Linked DNA regions of Tribolium castaneum. The protein of the gene in region 1 interacts with the protein of each later gene in a pairwise test. Links are inferred from orthologs where the notes say so. Each region holds a gene or a part of one and is shown in the gene's direction. Other genes may lie near its edges. The genes, in order: sina, rin and Rsph3.

Region 1 (2,507 bases):
AGAATTGGTATGTAGATAGAAATGCTTACATATAGAAAAAAAATCTATGTAGATATTGAAGTTATTGATATAAATATGGAATTTTAAATAAATGATACGTGTTAGTCATTGTCGAACAATCCTGATCGCATAGAATTTGATCAACAATAAAATGAATTATTTTTGAAATCTAATTAATAATTATAGTTTCGATTTCCTAGGAAATAATACACGGTATTGTCAAACTACAAGTTTTGATTTTTTAATGAATTTCAGTGTTTTACATTAAAAAACTGATATAGACGGTAAGGAGGTTCAATAATATTATGTATATATTACATTTTTTCGCAGTCGGCTCTAAAATTCTTTAAAATCTTCAGTGAGTTTTGGGTTTTTTAGCACGGGATCGTCTAAGACCAATTCATATAAGCGTTTTCGGTCAAAATAAGCTGATTTCAGTCTTTCACGATCAATTTTCGCGTTTTTTAGCAAGAAATTGCCGAAAACAAGCGTTTTCATATAAACTGGTGGATAAATCGGCGCTAAGGGCTTTAGGAGTTCCGGAGCGTTCATAGCATCATGTGCAAGGTTTTAGTCAAATTAACTTAAATAAAATATATTTATACTTATCAGTGGTAATAATAATCTCGGAACTGACGTAATTTTGGATTACTCGTCAACTAGACACATTCGTGACATTAACAAGGTGTGCACCTTTTTAAGAGTGACTTTTGCCTCGGTGTGGGTGCACGTGGCAGTGCGTAGTAAAAAAATGTTTGGGGCGCAGGGTCAGTTAGATAAAGTAATGGTACATCTGCAACATTCCCATAAAAACATAACAACGCTCAACGGCGAGGACATCGTTTTCCTGGCCACTGAGATCAACTTGGCCGGTGCTGTCGATTGGGTGATGATGCAGAGTTGTTTCGGTCATCATTTTATGCTAGTGTTGGAAAAACAAGAGAAGAATGATGGTCATACCCAATTCTTTGCAATCGTTCAGTTGATCGGCTCGCGCAAACAGGCCGAACATTTCGCCTATAGGTCAGTCCCAGCGTTTTGTTCTTTAGTATTCACAGTGTTTTTTTATTTAGACTGGAGCTTAACGGAAACAGGCGACGTCTGATCTGGGAAGCCATGCCGAGGTCCAGCCATGAGGGGGTCGCTTCGGCCATTATGGCCTCCGATTGTTTAGCGTTTGATAATTCTATAGCCCAACACTTTGCTGACAACGGAAATTTGGGTATTAATGTTACCATTTCTCTAGTATGTTGAGCCTTCAGTTCGATTATTTTTCGATGATTAATTAGCATGTAAAGTTAATATATACATATCCTATACATTATTGTTCATTTAAAACTTTTGTTCGTTTAGTTTGTGTGACAAGATTTTGTTTTGAGACTTTACTTTGAGTTTACTTTTTTGATCAACTGCTTCGAAATGGCATTGTTTTATGATATATACTTACATATTGCTGTGTTTAATGGATTTTTCGTTTCGTTGCGAATAAACTTAATCAAAAAACTACTGTAGTCCAATAATTTATTACCTCACAGTGATACACAAAAGGTAAGGTCGAATGTGTTACGTTGCAGGTCAGCCCAACTAATAAATTGTGATAAACATATTTCTTCTAATACCCACTTTGCTATAACCGTTTTGAAACTAGTGCAGGTTTTATGTACATTACTTTCCACATTTTGTTATCTAATATTTAGTGTAAAAAACCCACCTCTTGTAAGATTAATTTACGTGTGTTCAATTTGTGGAATTCGTTTGCTTATGGGTTTTAGCTTAAGTTGTCATAAGTCGTTATAGTTGTTATGTTAGATGATAAATTTGTCCTTGTACATTGTAATAATGGGCACTATTTATTTAATGACTATTCAACTACTTGTAGTTTATATGTTCGATTATTTCTGCTTCGCTTAATGTAAAATACGCAATAAATTTTGTTTAACTTTCTAAAACTGAAGTTTATTTCAAACCCTAGCCCTTCGATTCGGTAAAACACCGAAGAGGTGTGGCGCTCGGTGCACACTTTTAAAGCGCCATCTCTTACAATTACGTTGAGTTTACACGAGAATCAACGGTTGCCTACACTATAGGGGAAAATGTACCTAAAGGAGTAATGATTTTTATCGCAATAAAAATCTTATCGTGATGATGAGATAATAAGTAGTAACAATAACCGATCTTTGAGTCACATAAAACATGTGCAGCCATGCAAACCATGTGAAACAACCTTTGATAGGGCTGAGAAAAATATTCGTAACTAAAAATACTTTTTTTTTGAAAAATATAAAGTTAAAAAATTTCGGAAGGATACGCTAATGCGCCCGTTTTTGATAATGCTGTGCAAGTCGTTCGGAAAAAGAATAAAGTAAGCTAAAAAATAGCTCTCAGGGGAAAAGCAATTTCTAATGCAAGCAGTGTCAGCGTCGTCAGCCTTTTCCTTAGTCTTTAAAGCTTCATTATTCATTAGTCTGAAGTGGTAGTTTTAAACATGAAATCGATTTTTATGCACT
Region 2 (4,250 bases), on another chromosome or scaffold:
TTGAATAAAGCATTTTGATTTCATAATGTGCTTTCCATCCATACCTACACTAAATAAATTGAAGCTGCAACACAACACAAAATTATTAGACAATGTAGTGAAGGAAAACATGTCCGTAATTTTCTTTGGTTTTGCTTATAGTAGAAAACAGTTAACTGATATTTTTTTGTTTACGTGAATGCAGACTATGGATATGGTAACTATGACGGAGGATATGGTGGTGGTCGCAGTGGTGCGCGCGGAAAAGGTACATACTGATCATGTTACATTTATTGTTACTGTGTGTTGTTTCAAATTCAAATTAGATTTTTTAGTAAACAAATTTGTTTTAATGTAGCAATAGTCGTAACCTGCGTTTACCCAAAAAAAAATCAGTAAGACCATCGTGTATTTTTTCACTGCGTCACGTACTAATCTTTAAAAAATTAGTAAATGACCATTGTAGGGTTGCAGCATTCTAATTTAAATAAAAATGAAGTGATTATATCTTTTAAAAAAATGAGTATTTATAAAAAGTATTTTGAAGAACAAACTGGCAAACAAACAACGCAGGTGGCGAGAATATTTTGAGTTTTATTAGTGAGTAGGATTTATCACTAATTAAATTTTTATACTGCTTGTTCTTTTCAGGTGGCTCCGGGGGTTATCAGGGTGGTAAACAACGAGGAGGTGGTGGCGGCGGTGGCGGCCGTAACCAAAGGCATCAACCCTATTAGATTTAGTTGTAGTACACATTTTGGTATGTGAGTTGGTCTGACTGATAGCCTGTTTGATCATCTACTTTTTTTATAGATGTTTCTCAGTTACTTTTTTTATTTGATATTTCGATTGATGATTTGAATATGATCATTCCACTTCTCATCTGTCAATTTTTCGTATCGAATTTGTACAGAACATTTAAGTTTCTATAAAGCATAAAAAAGCCGTTTATTTTTTTTAAACGTCAGGAATGCCAAGCCGGTTTTTCATTGTATTACGTTAACTTAAGTGATAGTGTAATTTTAGAGTAAGTTTATGTAATCTGTGTAGGGGGGCATCATGTACTTCCTCCACTGTATGACAATTTAATAATAAAAAATTTGTGTACATAATTTATCATCATTCAGGTATATCCTCTACATGTATTATAATGTGTGTCCTGATTAATTTAAAGTTTTTTAATTTCTATTGTGACAGTTCGCCGTTGTGGTCTAATAAAATTTGGAAATAAATAGAGTACATTTTTACTGAAACTGTTGATTTTCTTCCGCCACCCTTCATGTGTTTAATAGTTCTAAAGGTGCAAGCCAACAGCATAAGCGACGAAATGGTGCATGTGAATCCCTCCATTTTCTGTAAATTTTAAGTTTGGCGCCAAATCAATACAGGGTACTTCCGTTTGTGCATGCGTATTGATAGAAGAAATCCTGGGTTCTAGATTAAAAAACGTCCTTGAGTGGCGCTGTCGGCTAAGGTGTCCAAAATCGTAACTAAATTGGCAATTTATGAAGTTTACACCCGTGGTTTTGCGGCGTTTGTGCATTTCAATCACATTTCTACCGTGTTAATAATTAAATTTAACCGAAAATACTTCCTTAGCTCGCTTCGCCGACTATCTAGAGGTAAGTGAATGAAAGCGCGACTTTCTTCCCCCTTTTTGGTTCATTATCACATACCGGGTTTTCCTGGATTCGACATGGACAATGATCCATTTTCTCGCCGTGCAGAATTTGCGGTTATTTCACCCTATCCTGACTATTTGTTTACTTCTTGGCCCCCGAATTTCCCTTCTAACGCCTCGATGGAAGGAAATTCGAAGCCCGGACTGGCCTCAAGGCTTGATTCGGTGAAAATTTCGTTATCTGCATTCCATGTGTGCAATAATTATGGAATCCCTTTGTCTATCACATTTTAACATTTTTTTCCTCCGAATTATTGGGATTATTTCCTAAGGCGTGCTGGTAGTTTTGCCGTTTTCAGGCTTCTTTGCTGGTGCACGTTTTCTCAAGTTGTAAATAACTCTTCAGGAATGGTAATGGAGGCTCCCCCATCTCCCCAAAGTGTAGGAAGGGAATTCGTTCGACAATACTACACTTTGCTGAACAAGGCCCCTGCCCATCTACACCGGTAAGCACATTTTTACACCCAAAAATCAGCCAAACATATTTATCACCTGTGTTAATTGTTTCAAATATGCAAATTTTTACCAAGTGTTGAGCGATAGGTAGGATTTTCAAATGAAATTCGCTATAATATTTATTTCTGTTTGATGTTTTGTAACAGTCTATGAGGTGTAATATGTGGCGATTTATTTAACAACAATAAATGTGGATGCACGCCCATGCTGCATTACGAATTCCATATCAATATGTTTATTTCTTATAGTTTTATTGGCCAATTGTTCATAGGCGTCGAGTTGGAGGAACGGTCATTGAACTTTTGTAAAAAAATCGCTATCAACATCACAAAAAATATTAATTTGTTTACCAAAATCAATTTGAGTTTCGTTTGTAGAGAAAACCGTACAGATATTTTAGTTGTATTCCTAAATTCTGCTTAATTTTTCTCGGTGTGATAGTTACAGAAAGTGTCCTTGCAATGCGTTAACTAGTGAATTTTTATTTTGAACAAGGTTACGAAGGTAAGATACCTACTGTTTTATCAATACACTAATTAGATTAATTTTAATTGCACAGCAGTGACTATGATTTATTTATTTATTTTGAAAAAACTTAATTGAAGCATGGATAATTCATTTCCCAAAGCTTCAATTCGAGGTGAGGCATTTTTACAAGAATGACCTTTAAACCATATTACATCACACACGTGAAAACAACTATTACGAGCATTCTACAAACCAAAATAACAAAAAATGCTTATAGGTATAATAATACTCATTGAACTATTTTTTAGTTAAATTAAAATAAATATGATTTATTAGCATCGATTTGAAATATTTTTACGTGTTTTATAAGAGCGTTTACGGATCAATAAACTAAACGAATCCTTCACAGTTCACAAGATTTTGGTTTCGATTGTATTTGCGAGTATTTACATATTAATTTATGGGTCGGTTTAGAGAAAGAAGTCGTAATTATATTCTGGAATTCTATCGAATTATACTTTTGAAAGCTTTGGCTTTCATTCAGTTTTTCAGAAGACTTTTCTTATCAAACCTTAAGGTAAGGTCAGGGGAGTATTACCTAAGATTTTTTTCAAAAATGAAATGTCAAGGGTACACATTACACAAACTCGTAGTAGCTGTCCTAACCTTACACAGGGTTTAGCTAAAACAGAATTATCTTTTTTGCAAAAGATTAAGACAGAGTATTTATTGACGTTATTTAATAATTTTTTACTTCAAATTAAATTAAAACAAATTGTGTAGAAGAAGGTAAACTACTTTCTGCATCAATAATTCGGAATCATTGTTCTTGCAAGTGCTTTTTACTGCTCTTAGTGTAATGTCTCAATTGAAGCTATCTGACTTAAAAGATTTAAACATATTCGTGGGAAACAAAAAGCCATCTATCGTGACCCAGTTGCTGTAATTTGGGTTTTTATGTAAAGTATTTACAATCGTCTTAGCTTCTTAATGTATTTTGATTTTTTCTGAAGTATTACGACACTACCATCAGGAACTGATAAAGTTTCCTCTGTATTTATTTTAACAAATTTGTCTAACGTAACAAAACGTCGATCAAGACGCTACGAGAAAGGTACATAATTTGTGATTTCTCAGATTTTACAACCAAAACTCCTCTTTCATCCATGGCGGTTTGGACCCTCCAAACCGGGAGACCAGCCCTGTCATCGGCCAGAAACAAATCCACCAAAAAATCCAGCAGCTGAATTTCCACGACTGTCACGCTAAGATCACCCAAGTCGACTCCCAAGCCACTCTCGGCAGCGGTGTCGTCGTCCAGGTGACCGGCGAGTTATCCAACGCCGGTCAGCCGATGCGCCGTTTCACTCAAACCTTCGTATTGGCCGCCCAAAGTCCCAAAAAGTACTACGTTCATAATGACATCTTCAGATACCAGGACGAGATCATCTCCGACGAGGAATGCGAACCGGAAAACCGCTCCGAACCGGAAGACGAGACTTCGCAAGAGTGCCCGGTTTTGAACGACGTCCAGCAGATGAACCAAGCCCCCATGAATTACTACAACCCGACTAACATTGCGCCGGTGCCCCACCACCAGCCCCCGCATGTTCTAGCCCCTCCGGCGGTGCCCCAGGTCAACGGAGCCGTGCATCCTGACGATATC
Region 3 (4,105 bases), on another chromosome or scaffold:
CATCATATTTATGACATATTAGAAAAATACTGTTAACGGCAGCTAATTTTGCACCAACTTAAGATTGTTGCTGTTCTGTTTGATTTAAGAAAGTTTATATCATTTTTGTTTGTTAAGGAAGTAAAATTAGTATGCCTGTAACTGTGTCACCCGATGAATGTTTGATCTAGACAATTCTAAAAAATGAATCGATCCTTGGGGGTAATACACTTCATTGGATTCAGGTTAAAGACCAATTTTCTAGTTAACACTTTTTGAACATAACAAGGAAAAAAATAACGGAGCCTGAAGTAACCATACACATAGTTTACAAAGTAAAAACACAGATAAATAATTACTAATAATAAATTTTTAAAATTTCATTTTTCACACGTGGCGATTCGTCTAATGAAAACAATCGTTTTGTAAATTACTTAATTATCGATTATGTATCAGCTACTTATCTATTAATATGATGATTGACCCAAAAGTGCACAATAGCTGATAACATTAATGATAACATTCAATAAATCAATCATAATTCAATTTAGAGGAATAGGTAGGTATGAACTCATAAAGCTGCAACTGCGAAAAATTAATACAATACAATTACAATTACAATAATTCTTTTTATTTATTAACAAAAATGTTGAAGGACAAAGAGAGTAATTTAAAATGAGCAATCCCTTTTCTAAGTTTAGCCCACCTAAATCCGGTCATTAATTTTTATCGCTTTTTATGACCTCAGAAGCCGAGGGTACTTCACCCTTGACCGTGAGCTGAAACAACCAACCATTGTGATGGCGTTCGCCGATGACCGACAGATATGCTAATACCTTTACTGCGGACATTTTGAAAGTCACGACATGCTACCAATAAGACGCTTGTTTTATTTCCAACATTCCGTTTTTAATTGCTGTTGGAACAACATAAAGAATGTCCGTCTGTGTTGAAAAGATTATCGGAGAGTTCAACGAAACTACAAGGACGAATCAGTTTGGAAAATTGTTTTTGAGTTATAGGAATTGCAAGTTTTGTTAGTTTTATTAACAATTGATTAAGAATGTTTTGCTAATTTGTGGTATGAAAATCAATAGCGGCTATAGTTGTAAGAACCTTCTTCAGCAAGCCGCCCCCAGTAGCCATGCGCCGCCACCTCTTCAAACCGCCTTCGAATGGACAACGGTCAGTTGTGAAAGACCGGTCAATCGTAACATATGTCGGCGTCGCGACGCCGATCCGAAAGACCGACGAAATAATGTGATAGTTAAAAGTGAGCTTTTCCACACAAAAAGTGAAAACCCAATATCGATACTAAAGAAAATTATTTTTGGAGTAGCTAGAACCGAATAATAGATGATAGAAAGTTTATTTTTAGTCCAACTTTTTCAATAATTAATTATAGGCAATATAATCGAATATAAGCAATAAGTAGATTAGAATTTCTGGAATTGGAAGGCTGAAAAAGAGACTGTCAAGATGTTTTATTGAAATTGTTACCGATGACCGACTTAGCGATGCCTCCGGTAGTTTCGATTTCTTCGGACGAAGTCGACGATGATGTGGCCTTTAAAGTCCTCAACCAAGACAACCTCCCCATAACCATAATAGGGGAGGCAATTCTGAAACCCTTCGGCCGCGAAAACCAAAAACAGAAACCGAACGGAATCGTCTATCCAACTCGACGCATTGACACCAACTTGGAAGAAAACAAACAGAAAACCTTTACCAGATCAAACGGCCACATCAACACCACTCAAGACAAAAACAACTACAACCTCAAGAAGAACTTTAGCAATTCCCACGGGAATTTAACGAGCGCTACAAAAATCAAACCGCAAGAACAAGTCGATACAAAATTCACCAAAACGCTCGACGCTAAACTGCGAAAGCTCCAGAAAGAGTCGAAAAGTAAGAATGATAATGGCAGGAAGCCGTTTGTTACGACGGTAAAGAAGGGGCAGTTTCTGGAGCCGCCCCCGGAAATAGCCACTTTGATTGGCATTAAAGTGGAGGAACCGAAGCAGAAAGAAATTAAAAAGTTGTACGCGTATGCAAGCGAGCCGAGGGTGTTGAACAGAACACCGGCGAAGAACGTTCACAAGGCGAAATGTGAGGCGGCGGCGAAGGCGGCGGCGTGCGTGGTTGCCGGGGTGGCGGGGATTCAAACCGATCTAGATGTTAACAGTAATGTCAACAAACGAGCTTTGTAAGTTCTGGGAAATAATTGCGGTACAGACACGTGTTTCCAAATTTATCACAATGTGCACGCACTTAGATATTTTTCAGCTTTTTAATAATTTTTTTACACTGAAATACAAACATAACAGCTGCTTATTGAACATTAGATATCAAATTGACAAAAAAATAATTAGATTAACTATTCTCCAACTGTGGGTTTTTATTTACCCGGCGCCTCCACCATTTTTAACCAACTCTTCGAACTTTAAATTAGAAAACTGTTTCTTTTTTATTTTCTGCAAGCATTTTAAATTAAAATGAGGTTAGAGAATAAATTACTTAAGGTGTACTACTTGTATAAATTAGAATAACGTACTGACAGGTATGCAAAATATAGTCGAAATTATTACCGCTTATTCGAAATTGCATGAAGCTACAGCGCACTATTTAAAAAATAAAAAGTCTTGAACCCGTTTTCGTGTTAGCAGACTATTGACCCTTAGATTTTGTTTCACCAAACTTTACTTTACACATTCACGAATACCAAATCCTCATTTGAAATAAAAGTCGGATTGACCCGATTTCAGCTAAATAATGTAAAATGTGGCTGTCTATTTGAAAACAGGAAATGGCACTAGGCCGAAGTGTTATCCCGTATTTTCCTCTACAATTTCTCATGAATAATAAATGAGCTGATTGTATAGTTTCCCCTTCAATGTAATAAGGGTTTTTGCAGACTGACGTAAAGTTTTAAAGTTTCATTCAAGGTAAACGTAGATCTGGGTTATGATTATTTTATGACAAAATATCGATTAGTTCACTGTACTCTACATTTTTATTATATTTTTAAAAAGCCAAAACTGCACGTGAGTGGAACTTTCTATAATTAAATTGCCACTCAAGTTTATTAGATTTACACTTCAAAGAGAAATAGCATTGTTTTATCCCTAAACTGAATTATCTTCTTGTCTCCAGCGTTTAATTTAAAATAATTTATTGAAGAAATGTGCGTGCCATGATTAAAAAATGAGCGGTACAGTCATGCCAGAATGTGCTTAATATGTTAAAAACACATTTGACTTTACAAGGTGTTGAAATATTCTTACAATTTATAGTTTTTGCCAACGTGATAACCTATTTGCAATTATATTACGAATACACTTGACCATTATTATTGATGTAGACTTGTAAAAAGCAAATTTTTTATGTTATTGTTAATTAGAAAAATTTCGACATATTTCCTTTCTTCCTAAACTTATTAGCAAACGTGAATTGGTAAAAACAAAGAACTCGGCATACTATTGTGCAAAGAAATAAACTGAAAAATTAGAATCTTATTAGGTGATAGTTCATTAGACTCACTAGTCAATACACTGGTAGTTACAAGCTATTTATAGTAACTTCTCTTATGAAATTATAATGCAACCATTAGTCGAAAATTCAATAAGGTGTATTAGTTTTATCTTTCAGCGTAAAATAAAAATGTTCTAATTTTAAAGTAGGATTCGAACTTTCGTTCGCGTCAGTGAAAGTAGCAGGATATAAGCAGTCATGGCCGAGCGGTTAAGGCGTCTGACTAGAAATCAGATTCCCTCTGGGAGCGTAGGTTCGAATCCTACTGACTGCGAAACATTTTTTTTTGTATTATTAGAATATTACAGATACTTTAGTGCATTTAATAATAGAACAAGCTCCACCTCGTTAATGCTATTACGCTAATCTCCAATCTTTAATCAAGATCGATGCTATTTTTGGCGAAATTATGAGTGGGAAATCCGGATAATCAGTAATCAGAATCGATTACCTGCTAGTTACTTATGTAGATTAGGAACAGTTCAAGGCAATCTCATTAAAATCCTAAGAAGTCAATCATCATCAAAATATCGAAGAGGAGGAATCTCATCGCGTGTTTGCCTTTAAACGTTCTGTTTTGGTTTTACCGCCC

Evidence for each region.
Region 2: the proteins of sina (region 1) and rin interact in a two-hybrid assay, tested with the Drosophila melanogaster proteins (2 studies listed by BioGRID). The link is inferred for Tribolium castaneum from reciprocal best matches to the Drosophila melanogaster genes sina and rin.
Region 3: the proteins of sina (region 1) and Rsph3 interact in a two-hybrid assay, tested with the Drosophila melanogaster proteins (2 studies listed by BioGRID). The link is inferred for Tribolium castaneum from reciprocal best matches to the Drosophila melanogaster genes sina and Rsph3.

Annotation. Positions count from the first base shown.
Region 1 is NC_087403.1:8,292,059-8,294,565, reverse strand, and holds the end of sina (E3 ubiquitin-protein ligase Siah1), read left to right. Parts: intron 1-766; coding exon 767-1,023; intron 1,024-1,073; coding exon 1,074-1,254; 3' UTR 1,255-1,949; downstream 1,950-2,507. UniProt on the Drosophila melanogaster protein: E3 ubiquitin-protein ligase that is required for specification of R7 photoreceptor cell fate in the eye by mediating the ubiquitination and subsequent proteasomal degradation of Tramtrack (ttk).
Region 2 is NC_087397.1:6,619,728-6,623,977, reverse strand, and holds the start of rin (ras GTPase-activating protein-binding protein 2), read left to right. Parts: upstream 1-1,441; 5' UTR 1,442-1,601; intron 1,602-1,944; exon of another isoform or gene 1,945-1,959; 5' UTR 1,960-2,008; coding exon 2,009-2,106; intron 2,107-3,721; coding exon 3,722-4,250. Other genes in the region: sqd (RNA-binding protein squid), read left to right, coding at 185-247, 631-716.
Region 3 is NC_087398.1:5,701,306-5,705,410, reverse strand, and holds the start of Rsph3 (radial spoke head protein 3 homolog), read left to right. Parts: upstream 1-1,163; 5' UTR 1,164-1,481; coding exon 1,482-2,188; intron 2,189-3,705; exon of another isoform or gene 3,706-3,787; intron 3,788-4,105.